Anolis sagrei: one gene and its partners. The protein of the gene in region 1 interacts with the protein of each later gene in a pairwise test. Links are inferred from orthologs where the notes say so. Each region holds a gene or a part of one and is shown in the gene's direction. Other genes may lie near its edges.

What was found.
Region 2: the proteins of MTUS2 (region 1) and EHHADH interact in binary tests that used the Homo sapiens proteins (3 or more experiments, as listed by UniProt). The link is inferred for Anolis sagrei from reciprocal best matches to the Homo sapiens genes MTUS2 and EHHADH.
Region 3: the proteins of MTUS2 (region 1) and bystin interact in binary tests that used the Homo sapiens proteins (3 or more experiments, as listed by UniProt). The two-hybrid records come from large-scale screens. The link is inferred for Anolis sagrei from reciprocal best matches to the Homo sapiens genes MTUS2 and BYSL.
Region 4: the proteins of MTUS2 (region 1) and ZMAT2 interact in binary tests that used the Homo sapiens proteins (3 or more experiments, as listed by UniProt). The two-hybrid records come from large-scale screens. The link is inferred for Anolis sagrei from reciprocal best matches to the Homo sapiens genes MTUS2 and ZMAT2.

Annotation. Positions count from the first base shown.
Region 1 is NC_090023.1:31,862,108-31,868,962, forward strand, and holds the start of MTUS2 (microtubule-associated tumor suppressor candidate 2), read left to right. Parts: upstream 1-3,848; 5' UTR 3,849-3,946; intron 3,947-3,956; exon of another isoform or gene 3,957-4,178; intron 4,179-6,855. UniProt on the Homo sapiens protein: Binds microtubules. Together with MAPRE1 may target the microtubule depolymerase KIF2C to the plus-end of microtubules. May regulate the dynamics of microtubules at their growing distal tip.
Region 2 is NC_090023.1:222,668,711-222,676,119, reverse strand, and holds the start of EHHADH (peroxisomal bifunctional enzyme), read left to right. Parts: upstream 1-4,406; 5' UTR 4,407-4,590; coding exon 4,591-4,655; intron 4,656-7,409. UniProt on the Homo sapiens protein: Peroxisomal trifunctional enzyme possessing 2-enoyl-CoA hydratase, 3-hydroxyacyl-CoA dehydrogenase, and delta 3, delta 2-enoyl-CoA isomerase activities. Catalyzes two of the four reactions of the long chain fatty acids peroxisomal beta-oxidation pathway.
Region 3 is NC_090024.1:191,064,437-191,072,119, forward strand, and holds the start of bystin, read left to right. Parts: upstream 1-4,680; 5' UTR 4,681-4,688; coding exon 4,689-5,031; intron 5,032-6,843; coding exon 6,844-7,006; intron 7,007-7,683. Other genes in the region: MED20 (mediator of RNA polymerase II transcription subunit 20), read right to left, coding at 1,856-1,869. UniProt on the Homo sapiens protein: Required for processing of 20S pre-rRNA precursor and biogenesis of 40S ribosomal subunits. May be required for trophinin-dependent regulation of cell adhesion during implantation of human embryos.
Region 4 is NC_090024.1:136,398,342-136,405,629, reverse strand, and holds the start of ZMAT2 (zinc finger matrin-type protein 2), read left to right. Parts: upstream 1-4,285; 5' UTR 4,286-4,354; coding exon 4,355-4,372; intron 4,373-7,288. Other genes in the region: histidine--tRNA ligase, cytoplasmic-like, read right to left, coding at 163-282, 678-761, 1,327-1,449. UniProt on the Homo sapiens protein: Involved in pre-mRNA splicing as a component of the spliceosome.

The DNA of each region.
Region 1 (6,855 bases):
CAGCCTTCCAGATGTTGTTAGACTATAGTTTCCTAACCAGCATAATAATCAATGATAAAAATGCTGGTAATTGTAACCCAACAACATCTGGAGAGCCATGTGATTCTCACTCTTAATTTAGATTTAAGCAAACTGTTTCAAAGCAGCAACAAAAGCTGCTATTTATGGAAATGTGGGAATTTATTCTGCAAGGCATCTTGGAAAGGTTACTCCTTTGGGCTACAACTCCCTGAAAATCTGTCAATCTGCTTCACTGCTTAAAAACTTTAAATACTTATTCCTCACTAAAAACAACAACAACAACAACAAAAAACAATCTTCAGTACAGTCTTTACTCTTCATCTTGGGTGAACATTAAAAGCGGAGTCATTTGGCTTCTTTCATTTCTCTGAATTTTGACCTGATTAGGCAGTACTCCAGTGCACAACTGCCCTAGCAATAATGAGAAGGGTTGCTCCCAATTTAATCACTACATGACTGGACACACCACCAGCTACAGCAGAGCGCCCATTCTGCAAGCAAAACTATGTTCTGAATCCATATAGCCTTTTTGTATTTCTTGTATCAGATTAAACTCCTGCTGTGATAAGATGCCCAAGCAGATTTGACTCCTGTTTCACACGTTTTGACTCTTGCTTGACATTAGCAAGGACATTATCTTGTGAGTACAGAACTTGAATTTTTCCATTCAACTTACTATTTTTTTCCCTGGTAAAGCATTCCAAAAGGCTGAAATTGGAAGCATTTACACTTTGAAAGGTCCTTGTTTGAGTCTGAATAGCAAACACATGCTTTTGGTGAAGTTGTTTCCAATGCCTTCTTTTGTCAGCTGGGCAGTGAATCTGCTTGAACTGGGATTTGAAAGGAACTCTCCAAGGTGCTGAACCTATTTTGAGACTAAGGTTCAGAACCATGAATAGCTCCTTTAAGGTGGAGTAGGCGGTTCATTGCTACACTGTCATGTGAGCTAAGAGTTGCCAGCCATTCTTTATCCCAGAATAAATGTTCTCTCAGAATGCCATTGACAGAACTTGAAAGTAGCTACTTACAAGTAACTATTTGTAATGAATTGTCAAAGGCTTTAATGGCTGGAATAACTGGTTGTGGCAGGTTTTTTGGGCTGTGTGGCCATGTTCTAGAAGCATTATCTCCTGACGTTTCTCCTGCCTCTATGGCAGGCATCCTTAGAGCTTGAGAGGTCTGTTGGAAATCAATTTGTAATTTGTAATGAATTTCTTTCTATAACAGTTAAAGTTTCAAGTAACAATTCTAATTTGATGAGACATAGCTTCATTCCTTTTACAATAGATCTGAAACTTTTAGGGTTATTTTTTGTTATAGGGTATGATCTCTCTAAATGGTGGAGGAGGAATATTATATAGCTGGTTTGTGATCAGTTGTCCCCAGCTCTGCTGTTATGTGGAGATGATGGTAGATGGGAGGAGACTCTATTTTGTATCAGAGGCTAGCATCCTGTAGCACCCGTATTAACACACACACACTCTCTCTCACACACCAATGTACTTTTCAATTACTTTCTAAGAAACTGTAACTTTGAAAAAACTATAACAGTAAATAGTAGCGCTTGAGTATAGTTCTTTAAATTCCACATTATGAGAAATGTTCTGATCAATCGAGCCAGATCTAGCACACAATGCCTGCTCTACCTCCAACCAACCTACTCAGGTCTTGCAGACTGAAGTCTTGAAGACTCTTGAAGACTCTGAAGACTTAAGTGACTGAGAAGGAAAAGGAATTGTGGGAGTTGAAGTCCAAAACACCTGGTGGGCCCAAGTTTGACCATGTCTGAGATATATTGAGCATGGTGATCAGATCATGATATGAATAAACATGGAGCTGCTCCATTCACCCTGTGATATGGATATGGAGAGGGGGAGAATGGATAGGAGCACATATGAGATAAGGGCCATCTGGACTGGGGGGAAACAAAACTGTAAGATAACAATGATGGGAATGAAATGTAGCCAGTAGGAAGGGGAATGGGTTAGGGTAATGATATACAAAGAATTTGGTGGGGAATCTTCAGGACTGTCTTCCTATTGCCAATGGTAAGACAGAAATAAAGCTGTATCCAAGGATTTGCCTTTGTGGATGTGCTCTTATTCCAAGAGCTTTCAGGTTCTGACAGGTTGGAGGTAGAGAAGGCATGGGCCCTCCAGGTGTTTTGGAGTTCAACTCCCACAATTCCCTCAGCTGCTCTATCTCCAGCCAACCTACTCAAGTCTTGGAAACTCAAGTCTTGCACACTCTTGCCGACTTAAATGGCTGAGGGGAAAAAGGAAAGGGCACAAGGCTGTTAGGAATTGTGGGAGTTGAAGTCCAAAACACCTGGAGGGCTGGAGTTTTCCCATGCCGGTGATAGAGTGACTTGGAAGTCTCTTATTCATGGGGTTACCATAATTTGGATTGGTGGCAAACAACAACAACAACAATGCTATTATCTCCAACCAAGCTACCCAGGTCTTGCAGACTCAAGACTATGACTTCTTTGACTGATTCCATCTATGTGTAATGTAGCTTTCCTCTTTTACTACTGCCTTCTACCGTGTTGGTGAGTAGGAAAAGAGATTTAAATATGGGCTCAAAGCCAACCTTAAAAACTCTGGCATAGACACTAAGAACTGGGAAGCCCTGGCCCTTGAGTGTTCCAGCTGGAGGTCAGCTGTGACCAGCAGTGCTGTAAATTTTGAAGAGGCACAGATGGAGGGTAAAAGAGAGAAACATGCCAAGAGGAAAGCGCGTCAAGCCAACCCTGACCGAGACCACCTTCCACCTGGAAACCAATACTCTCACTGTGGGAGAAGATACAGATCAAGAATAGGGCTCCACAGTCACCTACGGACCCACCGCCAGTACACCGATCTTGGAAGACAGTCTTACTCGGACAACGAGGGATCACCTAAGTAAGTACCTTACCAAGTATTATTATAATTTTTTTATTGAGTTATGTCCTTTCATGATATGACCCAATCTCCATTTAGTCACCTTGGCATCTAATTTTCAGCCTTGATTTGCTGTAGAACCCATAGATTTGTCTTTTTTGAAGTCCACGTAGCTTTCCTCTTTTCCTACTGCTTTCTACCTTACCAAGTATTATTATAATTATTGTCGAAGGCTTTCATGGCTGGAATCACTAGGTTCTTGTAGGTTTTTTCGGGTTATAGGGCCATGTAGTGAGGTCTACCTCTGAGGATGCTTGCCATAGATGCAGGCAAAACGTCAGGAGAAATGCCTCTAGAACATGGCCCTATAACCCGAAAAACCTATTATTATAATTTTCTATTGAGTTATACCATCTCATGATATGCCCCAAACCCCACAGTCTCTGTTTAGTCACCTTGGCATCTAATTGATTTGCTGTAGGTCCCATTGATTTGCCTTTTTAAAAAAGACCACAGTCTCCCTAGGAGCATAATTCCCCATTTCCAAGGTGCACACACCCTTCTCTTTCACAACCCTGAAACACTCCCAAAAACTCCTACATTCGCTGCCATAGCAACTAACCCACACAGATATGGGCCATATTTGGACTCCCATCTGTCTTTGGGAAGGGAGGGGGTCCTCGCAAGTGGAAGCAGCCTTTCTCTGCTTGTTTGTGAGCCCTTCTGCCCTTTCCAGCCTCCATTGGGGGGTTGGAGGGGATGGCCCTAGTGGTCTCTCTCAACTCTATGAGTCTGTGGGCTGATTGGGCGACGGATGGGCCTCGGATCCACACATCCTCCATGAGGAAAGCCCAGGCGAGAGGCGACAGGGATGGTTCAATAGTCCTGGATGGCCGGGAATAACCTCCCAGTCCGAGGGGACGGGAGCGCACAGCAGTCCGGGGAGAGGCTTTCCCTTTGCTGCCGGCGGAGGGCGCTCTTGCTCCCCCATTTGGACGCCGCAGTGGGGAGAAACAACCCACGGAAGGAGCCCAGCGCTTTGTGTGAGTGTGGGATTGCGCGCGTATATAATATGAGCTCTTCCCCAACATCCCTCTCCGCCGGAGCTGCTGCCACGCGTCTGGGCGGGATGTAATCTCGAGTGGGAGGGAAGGAAGGAGCCACGTCTCGGAGGGGAAACCGAGGGGGAGGTGGGCGGGGAAGGGTGTGTGCGTGCGTGTCTTCGGGTCCCTTTGTCCTGCCGAGGGGAGGACAGCTCCGTCGCAGAGCCAGCAGGTAAGTCGCTGCTCTTCTGGAGCATCCTTCCTCCGACTTGGGTCTTGGGTACCAAAGCTGGAGCAGGTCCTTCTGGCAAGGTGGGAAGCAACTGCGCGTGGGACTTGGAGCGGGGGCCACTTCAGGGGTCTTTCCTTCTGCCCATTGGGAGGGTAAGGGTTTGGGGAAAGTGCTGCCTTCATGCCGGGGAGCCCCTCCCAGCCCCTCCGACTCTTTCAAGGGAGATTGGATTCCTCCTGCGCAAGTTTTGGAAACCCTGCCCTTGAGTGTTTTCCTCCTTCGCCTTCAGCCACTTGCTATCCCAGAGGGGAAGCTTAAGACTCTAAATTAGCCGAATAGACACCGAAAGGCAGGCACAGAAGCAAAACAACCCCACGCCTGTCTCGCCCCCTCCCTTCCCCTCCGCACATTGTCCCTTGCCATCACTCACCTATTCTTCCCCAGTTTTCTCTCTCTCTTCTGAACGGGACAAGAAGGCGGTGGCCCTTTGCACACCAGCCTGTTATCTCTTCTTAGCATCCATCCTCGTTGTCATCCCCCCTCTCCATGTCTTTGTAGAGCTCTCTGTGTATTGAGTCTTTTTATAGCAGAGGAACCAAACTGAGGAGCAGGATTGGATTTATTTTTTTGTAATGTCAGGGGTGACTTGAGAAACTGCAAGTCGCTTCTGGTGTGAGAGAATTGGCTGTGTGCAAGGACGTTGCCCGGGGGACACCCGGATGTTTTGATGTTTTACCATCCTTGTGGGAGGTTTCTCTCATGTTCCCACATGGGGAGCTCAAGCTGAAAGAGAGCTCAAGCTGAAAGAGAGCTCATCCGCACTCTCCCCAGATTCGAACCTCTGACCTGTCGGTCTTTAATCTTGCCACTGCACCCCCAGGAGCTCCTAATGGGTTTGGTCATCAGAAAGCTCTTTCCAGTTGTCCTTTTGGACTGCACAAGAGAGAGTTGTGCATCTGGGTGATGATGGGGAGAGGGAAGGAGGTTGATGAACTCTTATATACCTTCCTTTCTGGCTGCAACAGGCACTAACTTCAAATGTTTACCTGCAATATATGTGTATGTTGTTGACTTTACCCATGCTGGTTGTTTACAGATGTCACATGCTACGCTGGTCAATTGGCTGGCTTGTGTTCTATATGTTTTTCAAATCACGCATTTTCCAATGTTGGAAATGAAGATCAGAGAGTGGTGGTGGCTTGAAAAGGCTTTGCACAAGTGACTTTTCCGTGCTTTTCTCCAGAGATAATCTCCCAAAGGATGTATTGCATGGATCAGTGTTGTCGAGCTTGGAGGTGGGAGGAAGGTGGAATAGAGACTGGGATCAAGTGGTAGATTTACAGATGATTGGTACTGAGATTCCAATGCACAGTGATTTCATAATCGCAGCATGAAAAGACTTCCAGATTTGCCTGCCGAGATGGAAGAAAGCTTGGGCAGGGATCCAGGAGTGGGTTTGCATATGACATGCTTGTGTGAGCTCAGTGCTGGTACTGAAAACAAATGTCAGGGTAGTACATGTGCCCGGAGGCACTCCACCCTCTTCGTTCTAATGCTTGCTATACAATTCTGTTGTCTCCCCCAGTTACCCACAAACTCCAGAGCCATTGTTTTGCACCAGGATCCACTTGGTAGCCATGTCTAGGGCACAATTCTGGTAGATCAACAACAAAAACAAAGTAGACTCTGTAGCCCTGAAGTCTGAGCATCCCATCTCAAATTTCATCATAGTGATATAGTGCTAGCTCTACACAAGCTGCTGTTTTACAGTTCCAGTGCCCATTCTCACCTGACAGATGGGAATAATATTATGTCTTGATCTATCTTCAGTGTTGTTGCATTATTATTGAAGTCATGTCTATAAAACACTACATACTTCCTTTTCTCCTCTCTGTTATTGTTGCTGCTGTTATTTGAAAATGCCAATTAACTGCCTGCAAGTATTTTTCCTATCATAACAACATACATTGGAGCAGCTGCTTCATACTCCAACTCAGGAAAAATAGTTTTGCTGTCCTTCCCATATCTTTTAATTTATTTTATTTATTATTTATCATATTTATACCGCGCCCTTCTCTCCCCAAAGTGGACTCAGAGCGGCTTTACACATAGGCAACAATTTGATGCCATCAAAACGACATATAGTTAAAATAAACAATTACATTAAAACCAAGAAATCAAACATCTAAACATTATACCAACTGTGAAAACCACGCAATCCACAATTGTAGTCCAGAGCCATTCCAGTAGTCATTGCACATATTTTGTATCCATTTATTGCACTACAGTTGTTATCTGAAGGCTTGGTCCCAAAGCCATATTTTTGCTTTCTTTCTGAAGGCCAGGAGGGAGGGGGCTGATTTAATATCACTGAGGAGGGAGTTCCACAGCCAGGGGTCACCACTGAGAAGGCCCTGTCTCTCGTCCCCACCAAGAGCACCTGCAAAGAAGGTGGCAAAGAAACCAGGGCCTCTCTGGTCAATCTTAACCTCTGTGATGGTTCATAGAGGGAAATACATTTAGACAAGTAAGCTGGACCAGAACTATTTAGGGCTTTATAGGCTAAAGCCAGCACTTTGAATTGTGCTCAGTAGCAGACTGGCATCCAGTGCAGCTTTAACCCCCCCCCCCCCCCCCACAAACAAGCAAGCAGACCTCACAACCTCTGAGGATGCCT
Region 2 (7,409 bases), about 190 Mb from region 1:
CATGATAAAAGACATTTGAAAGGGATTTACCATGCCTCCCTCAGTGCTGTACAAACAAGCATTAGATCTGATGCTACTACTGTTGTCTTTGAGAGATTGTCCACCAGTGTCACAGAAATCCACCTACTGTTGCCCAGCAGCTGTTTGGCACATTTTGTCTGGCTCTGCAGCAAAAGGCTGTCTAACACGAAAGACCCTATCGGCAGCACTGCTACTGTCAGCATAGCCTCAGAGAAGCACACAATCCTACCACTATGAAAAGATAGTGCCATGGTGGGATTTGTAGCTTGCACTCATATAAATTGAGGTCAGTCACATCTTTTGTCAGTCCTAGCCTGAACCAACACACACACTGTCCCTTGAAAACACAGTGTGCTTTATCTATAATCTGATGTCCTTGTTTACTTCATAGCTGAACAGCTGGCTAATGCTAAGCACAGAGCTGAGTAAAATTACACACAGACACACCCATTTTCTTCTATTTAAAAAACCAGATATTTATTTATTTATTTATTTAAAACATTTCTATTCTGCCCTTCTCACTCCAAAGGGAATTCAGGGCGGAGAACAACATATAAATGGCAAACATTCAATGCCGGGACATAAATATACATATACATAAACATTAGAATCACTTAACTCAATGTTAAAATCCTGTTTAAAACCGTCTCAATATTGTATGTAATTGATTACACTATGTAACATGATTTTTGTTCCTGGGTTATAAATGTCATTTTCCTCATTGGTGCTATCATAAAAACATGGGTAAAGTTTATTAAACTGGAAAAGCTTTGTTTTTGCGGTCTGCACAAAAGGTTAAAAATGGCACATTGAAAGGTTAAAAATGACAGCCACAAAAATGAAGTTTCTGGAGTATAACAACTACTTTCGAAGTAAGTAAAACACAATTAAGCAGGAAATAACAGTTTCAAACCAGGAACATATTTTTTTTTCAAATTTTGTTACATAGTGTTAGTAACATCACCCAGAAAGAACAAGCAGTTGAACTATCAGATTGAGGAAAATAAAAAATAATTTGAAATCATTTATAAAAAAGAACTCCTCAGCAAGTAGGAGCTGATGTGGCAGGAACATGAATCATGGTCTTTCCATTAAAAATTCTGCTTTGGTTCTGTTTAAATTGTTATGTCTGCATTTAAATCAGTGTGTGCCACTTTTGTACAACATTTGTGCTATTTTCTTTTTGGGAGTGTGTGCATCAGAGACCATTTTAAATGCCAATATGTGTATGTGCAATCACATGCTGCTTTATGGTGAACTTCATGAATGTCATAAAGTTTTCTTAGGGTGCATCTACATTGAAGAATTAATGCAGCTTGATACCACTTGAATTGCCATGGCTTCGTGTTATACAGTCCTGGGAGTTGTAGTTTAGTGAGGCACCAGCACCATTTGGCAAAAAAACAAAAACAAACTAAAGACATTGTAAAACTAGAAGTCCCATGACCCCATAGCATTGAAACTGACTGTTAAAGCAATGCCAAACTGCATTCATTCTATAGTGAAGATGCATGGAATAGAGAAGTGATTGTGCAGTTTCTTTTTTCCTGAGGATGCATCTACACAGTAGAATTAATGCAGGATTGTCATGTGTTTTCCAGGCTGTATGGCCATGTTCCAGAAGCATTCTCTCCTGACATTTTGCCTGCACCTGTGGCAGGCATCCTCGGAGATTGTGAGGTCTGTTGGAAACTAGAAAAATAGGGTTTATATATCTGTGGAATGTTCAGGGTGGGAGAAAGAACTCTTGTCTGTTGGAGGTAGGTGGAATGTTTCCATTGGCCACCATGATTAACATTTAATGGCCTGGCAGTTTTTAGGTGTGGCTTGTTACTGCCTGAGAAAATCCTTTTTTTTTTTTTTGAGAAAATCCTTTGTTGAGAGGTGATTAGGTGTTCCTGATTGTTTCTTGTCTGGAGTTCTCCTGTGTTTGAGTTTTGTTATTTATTTACTGTTATAATTTTAGAGTTTTTTTTAATACTAGTAGCCAGATTTTGTTCATTTTCATGGTTTCCTCCTTTCTGTTGAAATTGTCCACATGCTTGTGGATTTCAATAGCTTCTCTGTGTAGTCTCATATGGTAGTTATTACAATGGTCCAGCATTTCTGTGTTCTCATAGGATGTCCAGGTTGGTTCATCAAACGCTCTGCTATGGCTGACTTCTCTGGTTGAAGTAGTCTGCAGTGCGTTTCATGTTCCTTGATCCGGTTGGTGGGGACGAGGGAAGGGGCCTTCTCGGTGGTGGCCCCCTACCTCTGGATTGCCCTCCCCAAGGAGATAAGGCTGGCCCCATCCCGTAAGAACTTGAAGACTTGGTGGTTTCATCAGGCCTTCAATAATGACAAGTCTCAAGCCCTTGGTCCAACAGTTAGGACTTGGCCTTGTACCACATCCATTCCCCAGTTCCCTGTCATTTGAGGGCACCTTTTCTTCCAGCCAATACCTTTTATTATAGACCTTTAATTGGCCCTGGAATTGAGTGGCCCCAGTTCCCTAGTAGGGCCATTGCTGAGACTGATCCTTGTACTGTAGCATTTAGCTGGCCCCATTTTTCTCTTCTCCTTGCACTAGCCTTGACCCAGCCCGTTCCAAATAGTCCAGGCCCCTTATTGAAATCTGTTCTCCTGGCAGCTTACCTTGCATGAAGAAGAGAGTGATTTTTAAATTGATTTTAATGTATACGCTGTGTTAACAGTTTATGCCTATGTTTTTGTTTCATATTGCACGTTTTTGTATTATTTTGCATATGTGGAAACCGCTCTGAGTCCCCTAAGGGAGATAGGGCGATATATAAATAAAGTTCTGTTATATTATTATTGATGCGTATTTGGCATTGCTTTTGGTGGTCCCTATATAGATTTGTCCAGAACTGCATGGTATACTGTAGACTCCTGCAGAGGTGAGAGGATATCTCTTGTCCTTTGCTGAATGTAGCATTTGTTGGATTTTCTTAGTGGGTCTGTAGATGGTTTGTTGGTTGTGTTTTTTCAACAGCTTCCCTATTCAATCAGTGGTTCTCTTGATGTATGATAAGAACACAGTTCCTCTTGCAGTTTAATAACTGCAATCGTGCAGTGCTATGCATTTTTATAAGGTCCTTCGCCTCTTTCACTAAAAGAGCGCCATGACAGTCAAAGTGCTGTCAAACTGCATTAATTCTACAGGGCAGATGCCTCCTAATAACAGTGAGAGCTGGCTCTGTGTAGAAAATAATAGGATTTAGGGCAGTGTTTCTCAATCTGAGGGTCGGAACCCCTGGGGGGTCATGAGGGAGTGTCAGTGGGGTCACCAAAGACCATCAGAATACACAGTATTTTCTGTTGGTCCTGGGGGTTCTGTGTGGGAAGTTTGGCCCAATTCTATTGTTGGTGGGGTTCAGAATGCTCTTTGATTGTAAGTGAACTATAAATCCCCCTTTGTGGATTTATAGAACCCCTTTGGCAGAGAAGGCTGAGGATCTCTCCACCTGATCTTCTCTTCTTTTTTGGAAACAGACAGAGAATCCTCCCACCAAAAGCTCTCGTCTTCTATGATTGGCTGGCCTCTCAGCCAAGGGAAGGGCTGTTTCTAAGACTCCAAGCAAAGAGCGGAGAGCAGGCATGCTCCACACATGGCAGTGTGGTGCACATGTACAGGCATGGAGAGCATGTGAGGCTGGAGGAAGGCTCATGCCAGTGAGTCCCTTCAAGGCATGGGGGTTCTATATGGGAAGTTTGGCCCTATTCGATTGTTGGGGGGTTCAGAATGCTCTTTGATTGTAAGTGAACTATAAATCCCAGCAACTACAACTCCCAAATATCAAGTCTATTTCCCCCAAATTCCACTAGTGTTCACATTTGGGCATATTGAGTATTAATGCGAAATTCGGTCCAGATCTATCATTGTTTGAACCCACAGTGCTCTCTGGATATAGGTGAACTACAACTCCAAAACTCAAGGTCAATGCCCATCAAGTATTTTCTGTTGGTCATGGGGGTTCTGTGTGCTAAGTTTGGTTCAATTCCATCGTTGGTGGAGTTCAGAATTGTAGGTTGATTGTAAGTGAACTATAAATCCCAGCAACGCCAACTTCCAAATGACAAAATCAATCCCCACTCCAACCCCACCAGTATTCAAATTTTGGCGAATCGGATATTTGTGCCAAATTTGGTCCAGTGAATGAAAATACATCCTGCATATCAGATATTTACATGACGATTCATAACAGTAGCACAATGACAGTTGTGAAGTAGCAACGAAAATAATGTTATGGTTGGGGGTCACCACAACATGAGGAACTGAATTAAGGGGTCGTGGCATTAGGAAGGTTGAGAACCACTGATTTCGGGTGTATCTCCTTTTACGTGATTCCAGCCACTCCAAGGCTCTGTCTGCAGGGTGGGTGCCTTCATCCTGGTTAAAATTCAACCGAGAGTCTGGGCTCCAGCAGAAAGCCTCCTCCACCCATTTGCGCGCCTGCCCATCCGGGTCTTCCGCTTCCAAGAGGCCCCGCCTCCTCCCTCGCCTTCTCGCTGCCCGTCAATCAAGTCTAGCGTTCTCCTGGGGCGTCCGAGGCTGGTCGCGCGACGATGGCTCAGGTCCTGCGAGGCGTGCGCGTGATCAGGGTCTGCAACCCGCCCCTCAACACGCTCAGGTAAGGGTCGCCAGAGAAAGACCCATGCTATGGGATTCTGGGAATTGTAGCTTGGTAAAGCACTTGCATTCTGGCAGAGAAGGCGAAAAACCTTGCAAAACTTCAACTCTTATGATTCCATACTATCAAACCATGGCAGTTTGACAAGCTCTGTAGCTTTCTCTGCCAAAGGGTAGTGCTGCTGCACGAAACTACAATTCCCAGGATTCCACAGCCATGGCAGGTAAAGTGACTTGTAAATCACAGTGTAAATCAACCCCTAGATCAGCGTGATAGTAGGGTGCATCTATACTGTAGACTTAATGCCATCTGGCAGTACTTTTAATTGCCATGTCTCAATGCTGTTACCATGGGATATGTAGTTTGGTGATGTATCAGCACACTTTTGGCCAAAGAAGGCGCAAGGTCTGGTGAAATTACAACATCCATGATTCCAAAGCATTGAGTTGTGGTAATTAAAGTGGTGCCTAACTGCATTCTACAGCGTAGATCAGCCTTTAGCAAACTTTGTCCCTCCAAGTGTTTTGGACTTCAACTCCCACAATTCCTACCAGCTGGTAGGAATTGTGGGAGCTGAAGTCCAAAACACCTGGAGGTCCAAGGTTTGCCCAAGCCTGATGTAGATGTCTGTCTGTAGCACAACAAAAGCAGGATTCTAGCAAACAGTGCATATGGATTGTGAATGCTGTGATTGTATATCTTGCTACTTTGGAGAAACCATGCAGCCATGCATGGTTTCTCCAAAGTAAGTCCTTGCTCCAAAGTAAGTCCTTGCTCTGGAACACAGTCCAAACCTCTTGCATAATTGACCCAGGGAGAACCTATCTGAATCAATGCAGTTTGGTACTACTTTAACTGCCATAACTCAGTGTTATTGAATCCTGGGAGTTCTGGTTTCACCAGGTCTTTAGAGTGCTGGTGCCTCACCAAACTACAGATGTAATCTTTTAGTAGCATTGAGCCACAGCAGTGAAAGTGGTCAAAATGCATTAATTCTACTTAATGAAGCCCTATTGTTGGATGCCACTACACGAGAGAATTAATGCGGTTTGACACCACTTTACCTACCGTGGCTCAATTTAGTTTTACAAGACCTTTCGTTTTCTCTACCAAAGAGTGCTGGTGCCTCATTAAATGGACAGCTATTCAAATTCCATAGCATTGAGCCATGGCAGATTTATTTTTATTTTTTTGTCGTGTCAGGAGTGACTTGAGAAACTGCAATTCGCTTCTGGTGTGAGAGAATTGGCCATCTGCAAGGATGTTGCTCAGGGGATGCCTGGATGTTTTGATGTTTTATCATCCTTCTGGGAGGCTTCTCTCATGTCCCCGCATGAGGAGCTGAAGCTGATAGAGGGAGCTCATCCGCGCTCTCCCCGGATTCGAACCTGCAACCTGTCAGTTTTCAGTCCTGCCAGCACAAGTGTTTAACCCACTGCACCACCGGGGACTCTGCCATGGCAGATAAAGGGGTGTCAAACTGCATTAATTTGACAGTGTAGATGGGCCCATGAAGTCACTGTTTCACCCAGCAGGGAAAAGTAGCCATGACCCATCTTGAAACCACATATAAGCAAAGCAGATTATAGCTTGGATTACTTCTGGAAGAATATTCCTCACCACTGAAGAAGTAGTAAATCATCATCTGAAAAATCCCCGTAAACCAAAAGAATCTTGATTAATTTTTGTTGTAATCAGTAATGTTGTAATGGCAGGAGAAAAGTTGGTCATGGGTTGAGGACAAGTTAATATGTAAGCACAAAGATATCATTTCCCCCAGACTTTGGATACTAGTAGATTGGGCATAAAATATAGGATTCTCATTTATTATTAAAAGTTTTTTTAAAAAAATTTATATAACAAAGCATTTTGGATGTGAAATCTTTCTATGGTCTTTGAGCTGAGTGATTGCTAAAGAGCTAACAGATGTATTATGCCATTACCTACAAGTCATTACATGCATGGAGTTTTATCCAGAATTTCAGGTATACTTCATTGGCGGTGGAATGATTGACAGTGAGGTTGGAGAGGGAATTAAAGGGCCAAAGTACCAATGGTTACGTTCAAAAAGTGGCCATTCATAAACATGGAATTCACGTTGCCTATCAAATGCAAGGGGCCACAGTAGTGCAGCGGGTTAAACCGCAAAGCTGCAGAACTTGCTGACTGGAAGGTCAGTGGTTTGAATCCACAGGACAAGATGAGCTCCTGTTGTTAGCCTCTGTCAACCTACCAGTTCAAAAACATTCAGATGTGGGTAGATCAATAGGTACCTCTCAGATGTGAAGGTAATGATGCTCCATGCAGTCATCCCGGATGTAAGGGCAATCTGGCTGCAACATCTGTCACCCCACTGATTGTCAGGGTTGATTCGACTGATCTGGCTGGCTAGGCGGGTGTCCCCTTCCTCCCTCACTGCTCCATGTGCATCCCTCCTGAAGCTATGCACTCGGTGGAAGAGGATGATGTCCCAGGTATAGAAGGAGTGTACCGAGGTCTCCAGTCTTTGGTCCCGGGTATACAATATATGCGCTCCCCTGCTAGAGCCTCCAAACATGCTGGCTACATGACGTTGAAGGGTCTACTGACAAAGCCGGCTCTTCGGCTTAGAGTACCCCCCCCCCCCGAGTTGAACACTACTAGACTTAATGTCAAGGGGAAACCTTTATCTTTACATCAAATGCAATATACATTTTAAAAATCCACATATAAAGGGAATTCAAATTCATATTTATTTGAGTTCATTCAAGTGCT
Region 3 (7,683 bases), on another chromosome or scaffold:
CCATCTTCAATATGTTACATCAGGCATGGGCAAACTTTCTAACTTGGGGGCCTCATGGCAGGCTGGAGCAGGGTGGGCAGGCCAGGAGCAGGGGGATTCTCTCCAAGTCCCCTCCCTGCCCTTTCCTCCCCTTCCTCTTCTCTTTCGGAGGCAGAAAGCAAAGGAAAGATGGGAAACATTTGGATCCCAAAAGGTTAGCCTTGGTCAGGATGAGGTGGATACGAGAGGAAAAAGTGTATCTATTAGACCCCATACTGCATACTCCTGATATAGAATCCTAGAGCTGGAAAGGACCCTCAAGGGCCATCCAGTCCAACCCCCTGCCAAGCAAGAAGGCACAATTAAAGCATTCCCGACAGACAGCCTCTGCGGAAAAGTCTCCAGAGGAGACTCTACCACACTCCCAGGCAGCCTAGGCCACTCTCCAACAGCTCTTACTTTCAGGAATTCTTCCTAATCTTTTCCCCTGCCATTTGAACCCATTGCTTCCTTGTGTTCTGGTCTCTAGAGCAGCAGAAAGTTGGTTTTCCCCCTCCTCTTCAATGGGACACCCTTTTAGATCTTGAAAATTGGTTCTCATGTTCCTTCTCTACCTTCTCTTCCCCCAGGTAAACATGCCCCAGGAGGAAAGAAGGAAGGAAAAAGAAAAGGAAGGAAGGTAAAAAGGGAAGAAGAGAAGGATGGATGGAAGGAAGGGTGGAGGGAATGCGGGGAGGGAGGAAAGAGGGAAGGAATCATAGAATCATAGTTGGAAGAGACCTCATGGGCCATCCAGTCAAACCCCCTGCCAAGAAGCAGGAATATTGCATTCAAATCACCCCTGACAGATGGCCATCCAGCCTCTGTTTAAAAGCTTCCAAAGAAGGAGCTTCCACCACACTCCGGAGCAGAGAGTTCCACTGCTGAACGGCTCTCACAGTCAGGAAGTTCTTCCTAATGTTCAGATGGAATCTCCTCTCTTGTAGTTTGAAGCCATTGTTCCGCGTCCTAGTCTCCAGGGAAGCAGAAAACAAGCTTGCTCCCTCCTCCCTGTGACAAAAGGGAAGGAAGGAAGGAGAAAGAGGGAGAGAAAGAGGGAAGAAAGACAGAAGACTGGAAGGGTAGGAGGGAAGGGGGAAAGGCAGAAGGAAAGAGGGAAGGAAGGAAGGATAGGATGGTGAGCGAGAGGAGGGCCTGCAAAAAGAGTCCAAGAGGCCGCATTCGGCTCCCGGGCGTGGGTTTCTCCATACCTGTGTTACATGCAGGTGGTGTCAATATCTTATTTACTAACACCTTGAAGATGGGAGCCAAGCCTAAACACAACATTTATGTTTCATATACATGTTATGTGTACGTGAAACATAAATGACTGGTTTGATTAGGCTTAGCAATTAGGCGATGCAAAAAAAAAAAAATCCCACACACAAAAATACCTGAAATCGCAAACTTGTCTGGCGCCAAGCAATTCGGATGAGGGGCAGATACTCCCCTGGCATTACATTGAGGAGATTTAGTAACTCAGGCATGGGTAAACTTCGGCCCTCCAGGTGTTTTGGACTACAACACCCACAATTCCTAACAGCCTACCGGCTGTTAGGAATTGTGAGCGTTGTAGTCCAAAACACCTGGAGGGGCGAAGTTTGCCCATGCCTGTAGTAACCCTACCTGTCACCAGGTCCCTCTCCTGCCCCTGACACTCGTCATTCGCTCGTTCACACGTTACACTCCATACCCGACCCCTCATTCTTGAAACGAATGTACATCCAAGCACAATCGCAGCAGGCCTCCATCTTGGCCGACACTGAGAAGCAAAAACATGCAACGGTCTCAAGGTAAAATGTTTGGCTAAGGCTACAGCAGCCTTGGGAAGCCGTACCAGGTGACACCCATGTTTCCTCGGCTGTCTCCTCCGCGGGGGAGGCGTGAACCCGGGCGGAAAGGTGGCCCAAGACTTCTCAGCCTCACTCAGCGCCCTCTGCCCGGCGGTCTTCGCGGAGCCTCACACAGCCTCGCCTCCTCGGAGGGAAGAACGCCGAAAGGAAGTGACGTCATCGCGGGGAATGCGGGCGAGTGTCGTCCTCGCCGCCTCCTCTCGGAAGCGGCCCCCTGGCGGCCGGAGCAGGCAATGCAGGCCCACCTCCAACTCAGGTGGTCCTGCATTGCCCATCCAGCAAAAGAAAGTGGAGCCAGGCTTTCCTGTAGGGAGGAAAGTATTGACACCTCCGGCCCATCCTCTGTTCGGATATCAGCCAGCATATTGACGTTTTAAATCAAGAAACAACTTCCTAAGATCTACTTTATATATACGTATATTTAGGTTTAAAATTGTATTTCATCTATATAAATAAAAATGTAATGTTCGTTTGTGGGATTAACATAACTCAAAAACCACTGGACGAATTGACACCAAATTTAGACACAATACACCTAACAGTCCAACGTGTGACCATCACCTGTAAACACACACACAAACACACACAAAACCCCAGCCGAACAGACTTAAAACCCCCCCAAAAATACCATATTTACATATACACAGAATCATAGAGTTGGAAGAGACCTCATGGGCCATCCAGTCTAACCCCCTGCCAAGAAGCAGGAATATTGCATTCAAATCACCCCTGACAGATGGCCATCCAGCCTCTGTTTAAAAGCTTCCAAAGAAGGAGCCTCCACCACACTCCGGGGCAGAGAGTTCCACTGCTGAATGGCTCTCACAGTCAGGAAGTTCTTCCTCATGTTCAGATGGAATCGCCTTTCTTGTAGTTTGAAGCCATTGTTCTGCGTCCTAGTCTCCATGGAAGCAGAAAACAAGCTTGCTCCCTCCTCCCTATGACTTCCTCTCACATACTTATACATGGCTATCATGTCTCCTCTCAGCCTTCTCTTCTTCAGGCTAAACATGCCCAGCTCATTAAGCCGCTCCTCATAGGGCTTGTTCTCCAGTCGCCCTCCTCTGGACACATTCCAGCTTGTCAATGTGTCCAGATACACATACACTCATATACATATACACATGCACACATTCATACACACACACATATATATATGCACAAACACACACAGATATACACATATACACAAACATACATACACATACACACAGATACACACAGATATACATATACACATGCACACACATATACATATCCACATAATATTTCGTTCAGACGATCAGAATCTCCTTGAAGTTCCCAATTTTAGGACCATTCACCTGATGTCTACTAGGCGTAGAACTTTCACGGTGGTGGCTCCTTATCTATGGAATGCTTTGCCAGCAGGAACAGGAGCTCTCCGAGATTTACTTGCTTTTCGTAGAGCTTGTAAAACTTATTTATTTAGGGTGGCATTTGAATTTTGTTGATCAAAGTTTTTCTTGTGTATATTGTAAACCGCTCCGAGACTTCGGCGAGTGGAAGTATATAAAATTGATTAATAAAATAAATAATATATATATATATATACACACACACACACACACACAAATATGCATATAGACAAGCACACACATATACACAATATGCATGCACACATATAAATACACATATATACACACACTTATATACACAAATATATACACATACATAAACACATATATACACACACACAAAACACATATGCACAGACTGGGCTACAGCAACACGTGGCAGGGGACAGCTAGTTTATAATAATAATAATAATAATAATAATAACTTTATTTATACCCTGCCACCATCTCCCCAAGGTGACTCGGGCGGCTTACATGAGGCCAAGCCCAACAAAATACATCAGTAGAAAACAAGGCAAGCAAGCAAATAAAACACAGTACAATATCATAAATAACATATAAGCAGTAACACACAAGAGATTTAAAAGACTGTGGGAAAGGCCGGATGTAGTAGATTAAATTTTTAAAATACTGGGTGTGAACAGAAGTAGGGTATCTAAACGGGGGGTGGGGCGGTTAGAGAGTAATGTAGGGAAATAAATCCAACGGGTAGTGCTTCAGAGGACATATTGCAGAAAATTGATCAAATTAGGGCATTGTTTCCTTTATTCAGGGAAGGCACACTGAAATAGCCATGCTTTCAAGATGTCCCAGTCCTCAAACACTCTGTGCTTCATTCGTAAAAATGCACTCACAGAGCTCAGGCGGTGTTGTATTTAAGTGTCAATGTGGACTTTTGTGGGGAGGTGGCTGCCAAGGTAGTGGAAATTATCAACATTTTCTAATGTTACACCATTAAGCTATATTTCTGGCATTGGAGAGGGATTGGCTGGTGACTGCTGGAAGAGCACTTTGGCTTTCTCGATGTTCAATGACAGGCCAAGCTTTTCATATACTTCTGCGAAGGTGTTTAGAGTGGCATGTAGAAATTCTGAATGTGCACAGACGATGTTATCATCAGCATATTGGACTTCTGTAATAGATGTTGTCACCTTGGTTTTGGCTTTCAGTCTGCTGAGGTTAAATAGCTTTCCATCTGTCTGATATTTTGCATATACAATTTTCCAAATGTATATGCAAAATATTAGAGATGTGGGCAAACTTGAGCCCTACCGGCTGCTAGGAATTGTGTGAGTTGAAGTCCAAAACACCCGGAAGGCCCAAGTTTGCCCACGCCTGATTGGTCTCAAAAGCGTGAAAAGTTGGGAAAGCTCTGCTCTATATCTATTCCGCCCCTGCGGTCGCAAGCCCCGCCCCTTTTCTGGCCTTCTCTTTCCGGCGCATGCGTCTTAGCCTTTCCTCTCCCCCACGTGTCTGGGCGATCATGCCGAAAGAGAAGCGGGTGCGAGGGGCCTCCTCGGCGGCCGGGGTGAGCGTGCCTCTGGCCGAGCAGATCCTGCAGGGCGAGGCGGTGAAGCCCAGTCGGCGGGTGAAGCGGAGGGGCAAAGCCGGCCTGCATGGCGGGGGAGCGGGAGGAGAAGAGGAGGAGGAGGAGGAGGAGAAGTACGTGGACGAGCGGCTCTCCCGGAAGATCCTGGAGCAGGCGCGGATCCAGCAGGAGGAGCTGCAGGCCGAGCATGGCCTTTCCGGCAGAGAGGAGCCCAAGAGGAAGACCACCGTCCTGGGTGAGTGGGCAAAAAGCACGTGACATCACATTATTAAGCCCATCCTGGGATTAAACAAACCAAACACCCCGCCATCCTCCAGATGCGATGGACTACAACTGCCATCATCCCCAACTCCTTCAGTACAGCCAAGTAATAAAAATAGGCCTAACTCTGCCTTTCTATCACACTGTGTAACACAATGTTTGTTTCTGGGTTGTAAACGTCATTTCCCAATTGGTTATGTTACAAAACACAGCAAAAGTTTTGTTTAACTGGATTGTTGTGAGTTTTCCGGGCTGTCTGGCCATGTTCCAGAAGCTAGACAAGTGAGGTTTATATATCTGTGGAATGTCCAGAGTGGGAGAAATAACTCTTGTCTGATGGAGGCAAGTGTGAATGTTGTAATCGGTCACCTTGATTAACATTGAATGGGCTTGCAGCTTCAAAGCCTGTAAACTCCACTTGCCTAGTTCCCAACAAATGTCACAATCTCTCAGGATGCCTGCCATAGATGTGGGCGAAATGTGAGGAGAGAATGCTTCTGGAACATGGCCATTACAGCCCGAAACTCACAGCAACCCAGGGCCCTTCCACACAGCCATATAACCCAGAATATCAAGGAAGAAAATCCCACAATATCTATTTTGAACTGGTTTATCTGAGTCCACGCTGCCATATATCCCAGATAATGTGGGATTTTATTCAGCTATGTGGAAGGGGCCCCGGTGATTTTGGCCATGAAAGCCTTCAACAACATTATTTCTTTGATCCCCCCCCCCCCCCCCGGTTACCCGAGAGTTCTGGCTGCTTGAGTTGTGGTTAACTCAGAGTCTACTATATTTTGTCCAAGTAAATGAACTAAGGGTGATATTAACTGTATTTTCATAGCATTGCCATAAGATGTTTCAACCATATACAGTAGACCAGGGATCCTCAAACTAAGGCCCGGGGGCCGGATGCGGCCCTCCAAGGTAATTTACCCGGCCCTTGCTCAGGGTCTACCTAAGTCTGAAATGACTTGAAAGCACACAACAACAACAACAACAATCCTATCTCATCAGCTAAAAGCAGGCACACACTTACCATTGAAATAGTAATAAGTTTATATTTGCTAAAATTGTTCTTCATTATAATTATTGTATTGTTTTTAAGTGTATAGGAATTCATTCGTGTTTTTTTTTTTTCAAATTATAATCCGGCCCTCTAATAGTTTGAGGGACTCTGACCTGGCCCTCTGTTTAAAAAGTTTGAGGACCCCTGCAGTAGACTCTCTGTTAAGTCATGGGATAGATAAATGGCAATTTCTGTAGTTTCTGGTAGCATGGGAGTTGCTATTAAAATTAGATCTAATACTATACAGGTAAAGGTTTCCCCTGACATTGTCTAGTCGTACCCAACTCTGGGAGATGATGCTCATCACCATTTCTAAGCCGAAGACCGTACGCCTCCAAGGTCATGTGTCTTAAGCAGCCGAGGGGGAAAAGGAAGGGGCCTGAGGCTGTTAGGAATTGTGAGAGTTGAAGTCCAAAACACCTGAAGGGCCCAAGTTTACCCATGCGTGGTCAAAGTCAAAGTAAGTGAAGCTAAGGATAACAATGCATTTTCAATGCATGTCCATAACTAGTTCTTCTTTGCAGCTGGAAAAAAACCCTTTTGACCACTATCCCATTGATTACAATAAGAACCTATTCTATACTTTAGGATCCCACTCTGGTATTCTCCAGGTTGGTACAGCTGCCATCGTCCCCAGGAATTCTTCAGATCAGGGGCAATAAGGCAATTGCTTGTTTTGCTAAACATGTAGAGCTAATTTTCACCTGCCTCTTCTAGGCTCCAACTCAAAGGATGGAGGTTCAGATACAGATGACGAGGAATGGCCATCACTGGAGAAAGCTGCAGCCATGGAGAAGGGAGAGTATTGTGAGGAGATGACTGTGAATCCTGAGGATGAAAAAGCCATTGAAATGTTCATGAATAAGAACCCACCACTGAGGTGAGCCCAAAAGGACCAAATCTTGGTTTATGGTTGAAAAATTAGTGGTAGAGGAGCCCTTTTAGGGTTTTTGTTTTGTTTGATTTTGTTCCTGGGATTAAGCGATATGTGGAAAGTTGGTACAAAAGCTGAGAAATTTCCCCTAGTTCCCTCTTGTGTAGTGGTTCTCAACCTGTGTGTCCCCAGATGTTTTGGCCTTCAACTCCCAGAAATCCCAACAGCCGGTAAATTGGCTGAGGTCTCTGAGAGTTGTAGGCCAAAACACTTGGGGACCCACAGGTTGAGAACTACTGCCCTAAATGGTTTGGGTCCAGCTTACCTGTTACTTCTTTTATTATTTTGCCTCACTCCCACTGTTTGTATTATATGCAATTATGAAACAGAATTCCACTGAAGGAATGGGATTACGTTGGTTTTTAATGGACTAATGATGTCAAATTATAAATTGACAGAAAAAGCATCCTCTACAGCTAATTGACTAATATTGATTGGGAGAAAAAACAGATTAATTGTTTACCTGCAAACTTAGAGACTTGAAGCCAGTTGGAATATAATTGACTAGAACATGTGGCTCTCAACCTGTGGGTCCCCAGATGTTTTGGCCTTCAACTCCCAGAAATCCCAATAGCTGGTAAACTGGCTGGGATTTCTGGGAGTTGTAGGCCAAAACACCTGGG
Region 4 (7,288 bases), on another chromosome or scaffold:
CTGGACACAGTTAAGTTGCTATGGTTCTGTTGAAATCAATAAAACTAAAACAGCCTTTGTGTAGAATTTCAGCCTTTAGCAGAAAAAGACTCTAGAAATGTGAAGCTCTTGTCAGACAAAAAGGCCACTAGCACTTCCAAAATAATACTGATCCATCCTCACCTTCCGCTCGAACACAGGGGTGTCTATCGTCACAGCTCCATGGCGCTTGAAGCAGCTGATAATGGTGGCAAAGATATTTTCACGGATGGCCATCTGCTTTGGACTGAAATCCCTGGTGCCCTGAAAGTCCACACCGAAGAAAAGATGGGGGTTTAGAAGAGATGTTTCTTTAAAAAAAGAAACGCTTGATGAAAACTACACAGCTGAAATAGTAACAGCAGCCAACAGCTGAAGGGCTTCCAGATGCTTCAATTGTTTAATACTAAGCATTTGATTCTGTGCCAAAAAATCTTCTAACGAGAATCAAGTACTGCTAAAAATAATAGAAAATGATTGGAAGAGAGGGGAAAATTGAAAAAGCAGTAGATTAAGCTAATGGGGTAAAGGGGCTGAGTGCTCTATAAGATCATCTGGAAGGATGATGGTACGGCTTGTTCCGTTAAAGGAAGTACCAGAGTTAAGCAGTGCTCGAAGGGGACTCTGGAAGAGGAAGCAGAACACAGATGGGCTATTACCTTGGGGGTTTTGAGAATTATGTTTCCTCTTCCTCCAGCATCTCTCAGCTGTGGCGATGGTTGATTTACCACATCTTCAGTCACCTGAGAGCAAAGCAAATCTGATAAAAAGGATGCCATGGCACTTTAAAGACCAACACATGTATTATAACATGGACATGCGAGTTCTTTCTGACTTCAGTGTCTACTGTGCTATCCTCAAACATGTGTACTAAATCTACTCGAAATTCTGGGTAAGACAGTATGCCTTTGATAAAGTGGGCTATAATTCCTTAATGATTAGGCTGTAATATATCTGTTAGGCTTTGATGCAGCACAGGATCATTTGTTGTTTTTGTTGCAACAGACAAATGTAATACTACATTGGAAATATGAATAACTCTTTTTTATGTTCGTTTTACAGATTTCAATTAATATAAGACAGCTGACATATCAGTGCAAAATGGTAAGGACAGATTAAGATCTCAAGAAGTCCTAAATTCTTAACATTCTAAAGGTGGCAATGTTCCAGCCCATTCCCAACCCCGCAGAAGCTTGAATAGCAGGTTAATTTGGCTTTTATTTGTAAATTTCCAAAATGCTGCTAGGAAGAAACTTCTAAACTCAAAGCTACAAGAGTTGTAGAAGAATTGTGGTAAACGAGATGCACCTTGTTCGGTAGATGGCTGGAAAGTGTCCTTTGAACCCAAAACTGCGTTGGCATAAGCTGTCTCCTATACAGAGCCTTTGTGAAAAAGCTTATCCAATACATGTCGAGGAGTTTCAACAGCATCTGCCAGCAATGTTTCCTATACTGGGCATATCAAATCTTCAGAGCAGCACAGGAGAGGAAGCCTTTGCATTCTGATCAGTGAAAGATGCATCTGTGATGTATCCAGCATGAAGAACAGAGAGAAAAAGCAAGACATAAAATCCAACAATGAGAAAACTATTTTGCAAAGTCACACAGACTAATGGCGGAGATCCTCCCATACAGCTGAATAAAATCTCACATTTTCTGCTTTGAACTGGAATACATGGCAATGTGGTTCAGATAACCCAGTTCAAAGCAGATATTGTGAAATAATCTGCCTTGATATTTTGGGTTATATGGCTGTGTGAAAAAAAATGGTTTGTTGTGGAAACAAGGATTGGTTGGAAGGCTTCATTGGATACCCCTTTTCTCCATGGTAACTCTTCTAGGAGTGAATTTCCCTTCCTGGCGGTAGATTTCTTTCACTTCCTGTTGTCTCACCTCCCCCCTCCCCGTTCTTAACAATGAGTCGTTAACGATGAGTCGGCACAAACTTTAAGATCTTCCGAGGAGGCCCTCCTTTCGCTCCAAGCACGGTTGGTTGGGACGAGAGGGCCTTCTCGGTGGTGGCCCCCACCTGTGGAATGCCCTTCCTGGAGAAATAAGACAGGCTCAATCTCTCCCCTCCTTTTGTAAGAGCCTGAAGACTTGGTGGTTTAAACAAACCTTTGAGAATAACTAGTTCTAGCTATAACCCAGATACTGTTGAAATTGGCCATATCTTTTTCTTCCAATTACCCAGGTCACTTTCTTCTATTAGGCCCTGGAAATGTATGACCATAGACTCTACCTAATTTCCTGGGCCCTCTAAAATTGCACTGGCCCGGCCTTTTAAACTTCCTTGAACAGGCAGGATTATTTTAAATATATGTGCTATTGTGGTTTTTAATGCTTATATTGTCTTGTTAATGTTATGTTTATGCTGTTTTATTTGTATGGATTGATTATGTTACTTGGAAACCGCTCTGAGTCCCCTTGGGGAGATAGAATCATAGAGTTGGAAGAGGCCTCATGGCCCATCCAGTCCAACCCCCTGCCAAGAAGCAGGAATATTGCATTCAAAGCACCCCTGACAAATGACCATCCAGCCTCTGTTTAAAGGCTTCCAAAGAAGGAGCCTCCACCACACTCCAGGGCAGAGAGTTCCATTGCTGAACAGCTCTCAGAGTCAGGAAGTTCTTTCTCATGTTCAGATGGAATCTCCTTTCTTGTAGTTTGAAGCCATTGTTTCGCATCCTAGTTTCCAGGGAAGCAGAAAACAAGCTTGCTCCCTCCTCCCTGTGACTTCCTCTCACATATTTGTACATGGCTATCATATCTCCTCTCAGCCTTCTCTTCTTCAGGCTAAACATGCCCAGCTCCTTAAGCTGCTCCTCATAGGGCTTGTTCTCCAGACCCTTGATCATTTTAGTCGCCCTGGACATATTCCAGCTTGTCAATATCTCTCTTGAATTGTGGTGCCCAGAATTGGACACAATATTCCAGGTGTGGTCTAACCAAGGTGGAATAGAGGGGTAGCATTACTTCCTTAGATCTAGACACTATGCTCCTATTGATGCAGGCCAAAATCCCATTGGCCCTTTTTTTTGTCGTCACAGCACATTGTTGGCTCATGTTTAACTTGTTGTCAATGAGAACTCCAAGCTCTTTTTCACACATACTGCTCTCGAGCGAGGCATTGTCCCCCATTCTGTATGTTTGCCTTTCGTTTTTCCTGCCAAAGTGGAGTATCTTGCATTTGTCACTGTTGAACTTCATTTTGTTAGTTTTGGCCCATCTCTCTAATCTGTCAAGATCGTTTTGACTCCTGCTCCTGTCCTCTGGAGTATTGGCTATACCTCCCAATTTGGTGTCGTCTGCAAACTTGATGATCCTGCCTTCTAACCCTTCATCTAAGTCATTAATAAAGATGGTGAACAGGACCAGGCCCAGGACGGAAATCTGTGGCACTCCGCTCGTCACTTCTTTCCAGGATGAAGAGGAAGCATTAGTGCGCACCCTCTGGGTTCGTCTATTTAACCAATTACAGATCCACCTCACCGTAGTTTTGACAAGCCCACATTGGACTAGTTTGTTTGCCAGAAGGTCGTGGGGGACCTTGTCGAAGGCCTTACTGAAATCCAGGTACTGAAATCCACGGCATTCACTGCATCTACCCAGCTTGTAACTCTATCGAAGAAAGAGATCAGATTAGTCTGGCATGACTTGTTTTTGATAAATCCATGTTGACTATTAGCGATGACTGCATTTGTTTCAAAGTGTTTGCAAACCACTTCCTTAACATTTTTTTCCAGAATCTTGCCTGGTATCGACGTGAGGCTGACCGGGTGGTAATTCTTTGGGTCATCCTTTTTTCCCTTCTTGAAGATTGGGACCACATTGGTGCTGGAACTTCTCCCATTCTCCAAGAAGATAATCCATAATATCTGCTTTGAACTGGAATATATGGCAGTGTGGACTCAGATAACCCACTTCAAAGCAAATACTGTGGGATTTTCTGCCTTGATATTCTGGGCTGTGTAGAAGGGCACCTGCCACTAGGCCTCCAGGACCTTTTGCTGCACAGACAGACTTGGGAGTTGGAGCCAGAAGCAAGGCTGTGCTTTCACTTGAAAGAGAAACACGTGAAGGCTAAAAGCTTGAAGGGTTTCTGTCTGCCTCACCCTCGAGGCAAAGCTATAAGCTTCCTTTCTGAGGCACAAACACGCTCTAAGACACGTCCTTTCCTTACCTCTCCTGAGCGAAAAGGCTTCCCAGGAAGCATAGAGAAAGCTGCAGCTTGGGTGAGGACGCTCTGGCTAGAAAGGACCAACCGGAAGTACGCTTTACGGCAGGCCCCAGTTTGCGCGACGTTTTCCGGCTTCCGGGACGCTTCACAGGCAAGATGGCGTCCGGCAGTGGGGTAAGTGGTGGACTTGATTTAGAAGGCAAGGAAGGCCTTTTCTGCCCGGTTTTCTGTCCCGAGGAGCTGTAATGGCCCTCAGGGAGAGCAGGGCGGCGGGCCTTCCGGTGTGGCTCCGCTTTTAGGCCCCCAACGGGTGCGGGAAAGGGCTCCTGGCTTCTGGGACGCCGCCGAGAGAAAGGCCCGGCTCCTCAGCGGCTTTGTATTGCACTTCTTGACTTGAGATAAGCGCTTTAAAGCCCGCACTTGACACTCCTAACACATTCTAGGGAAGGCATCTTCCGACTACGGCCTTCCCGCTGTTTGAGTCTCAATTCCCAGATGCCCTAGCCATCTTGATCAGTAGCGAGGAATTCTGGGAGTTGGAGGCCCAGAAAATGGGAGGATGTGTGTTCTAAATACTGCCTTGAATCGCCGATAGGCTGAGAAAGGCGGTATACAAGTATAGTAAAAGAAATATCTATATAAATAACAATGTAATGTTCAGGTTCTTGTGGGTTTTTTCGGGCTATATGGCCATGTTCTAGAGGCATTTTCTCCTGACGTTTCTCCTGCATCTATGGCAAGCATCCTCAGAGGTAGTGAGATCTGTTGGAGTTAGGAAAATGGGTTTATATATCTGTGGAATGACTTGGGTGAGGCAAAGAGCTCTTCTCTGCTGGAGCTAGGTGTGAATGTTTCAACTGACCGCCTTCATTAGCATTTGAAGGCCTGGCTGAGCCTTGGGGAATCTTTTGTTGAGAGGTGTTAAGATGTGCCTGGTTGTTTTCTCTCTGCTGTTTTGCTGTTGTAATTTTAGAGTTTTTTTAATACTGGTAGCCAGATTTTGTTCATTTTCATGGTCTCCTCCTTTCTGTTGAAATTGTCCACATGCTTGTGGATTTCAATGGCTTCTCTGTGTAGTCTGACATGGTGGTTGTGAGAGTGGTCCAGCATTTCTGTGTTCTCAAATAATATGCTGTGTCCAGGCTGGTTTATCAGGTGCTCTGGTGTGGCTGACTTCTCTGGCTAAAGTAGTCTGCAGTGCCTTTCATGTTCCTTGATTTGTGTTTGGGCGCTGTGTTTGGTGGTCCCTATGTAGACTTGTCTACAGCTGCATGGTATACGGTAGACTCCTGCAGAGGTGAGAGGATCCCTCTTGTCTCACCTCACTACCTCTGAGGATGCTTGCCATAGATGCAGGCGAAACGTCAGGAGAAAATGCCTCTAGAACATGGCCATATAGCCCAAACCCCCCCCCCCCCACAAGAACCTAGTGATTCCATCCATGAAAGCCTTTGACAATACAATGTAATGTTTGTTTGTGGGATTAACAGAACTCAGAAACCATTGGACGAATTGACACCAACTTTGGACACAATACACCTAACAACCCAATGTATGTCCTTCACTCATAAAAACACTGAAAAACACAGCAGAAGGGACTTAAAAAGCCCCAAAAAGCTAAATGACGAAAAGCTAAAGACAATACAGAAAAAAGGGAAGAAAGAGGGAGGGAAGGGGAGAAAAAAGGGAAAGAAAGAAGGAAAGGGAGAAAGAAGCATGGAAGCAAAGAGAGAAGGAAGGAAGGAAAGAGGTAGAGAAGGAAGAAAGGAAAGAAAGAGGGAGGGAAAGAAAGGGGGGGAGGAAGGAAAGTTAGAGAAGGAAATAAAAAAGGGAAAGAAGGAAGGAAAGAGGGAGCAAAGGAAGCGGGGAAGATATAGAGAAAGAGGGAGTGAAGGAAAGAGAGAAGGAAGAAAAGAGAGACAGCAGAAGAGAAAGGAAAAGGGGGAAGGAAGAAAAGAGATAGAGAAGGAAGGAAGAAGAGAAGGAAAGACGGGAAGGAAGGAGGAAAGAGAGGGAAGGAAGGAAGGAAAGAGGGAGTGAAGGAAGGAGGGAAAGAAGGAGAGAAAGAGGGAAGGTTGGCCACAGCAAAGCGTGGTGGGTACAGCTAGTAGTAAATAAAGAAATAGCCTTGATACTCTTGTTCAAATCTGTAAAATATTTTTTTTAAATACAAGTCCTATAAAGCTGTATTTGCATCAGAATCTTCTGAAGTTGTGGACTGAGGTTCCTTCCACATTGAACTGGATTATATGGCAGTGTGGACTCAGATAATTCAGTTAAAAGCAGATATTGTGGATTATCTGCCTTGATATTCCGGGTTATATGGCTGTGTTGATGGGCCCTGAGGGAGAATGAGATGTTTTTAATAACATTGTATTTGATACAGCTCAAAACAGAAACCTGTATCCTCCTGAACTATTATTATCCAGGATTCGGAAATCTGAGATACACCGAAATTTGGAATCATTAGTGCAGGGACAATAATCTGGTTCTTAAAATCAATAAAACGAAGGAGCTCATAGTAGACTACAGAAAGAACAGACCAGAAATTTAGCCCTTCGTCATAAATGGGGACCAAATGGAATGGGTGGCCAGTTTTAAGTTCCTGGGTATCCCTGTTAAGGAGGATCTGAGCTAGGACACCCATACAGCAGCGCTGGTTAAGAGTGCCCAGGAGAGACTGTACTACCTGAGATGTCTAAGGAACCAACAACTGAATGAAAAACTGTGGATGACTTTCTACCACTGCCCTAACCTACTATATCTGCGCATGACTTGATAACTGCACAGTGACAGATAGGAAGGCACGCCAAAGGGTCACCACTACTGCATAGAGAATCATTGGTTGCCCTCTTTGGAAGAACTTCATAAGTTCTGCAGCGTCAAGAAAACTCAGAACATTTATGAATGCAAAGACAAGAATAGAGGTTGTTTTTTTTAGATATTTGTTTCGCAGAGTGGGACCAGAGGTTATGGGGGAATGGCATACCTGTATTATATGCATTTTATTCTCTTTTGCTATTTTCTTTTACATTCTGTATGCCATTAATACAATAATTGTGGGGCACGAAAACGGCATCATTGATGAAA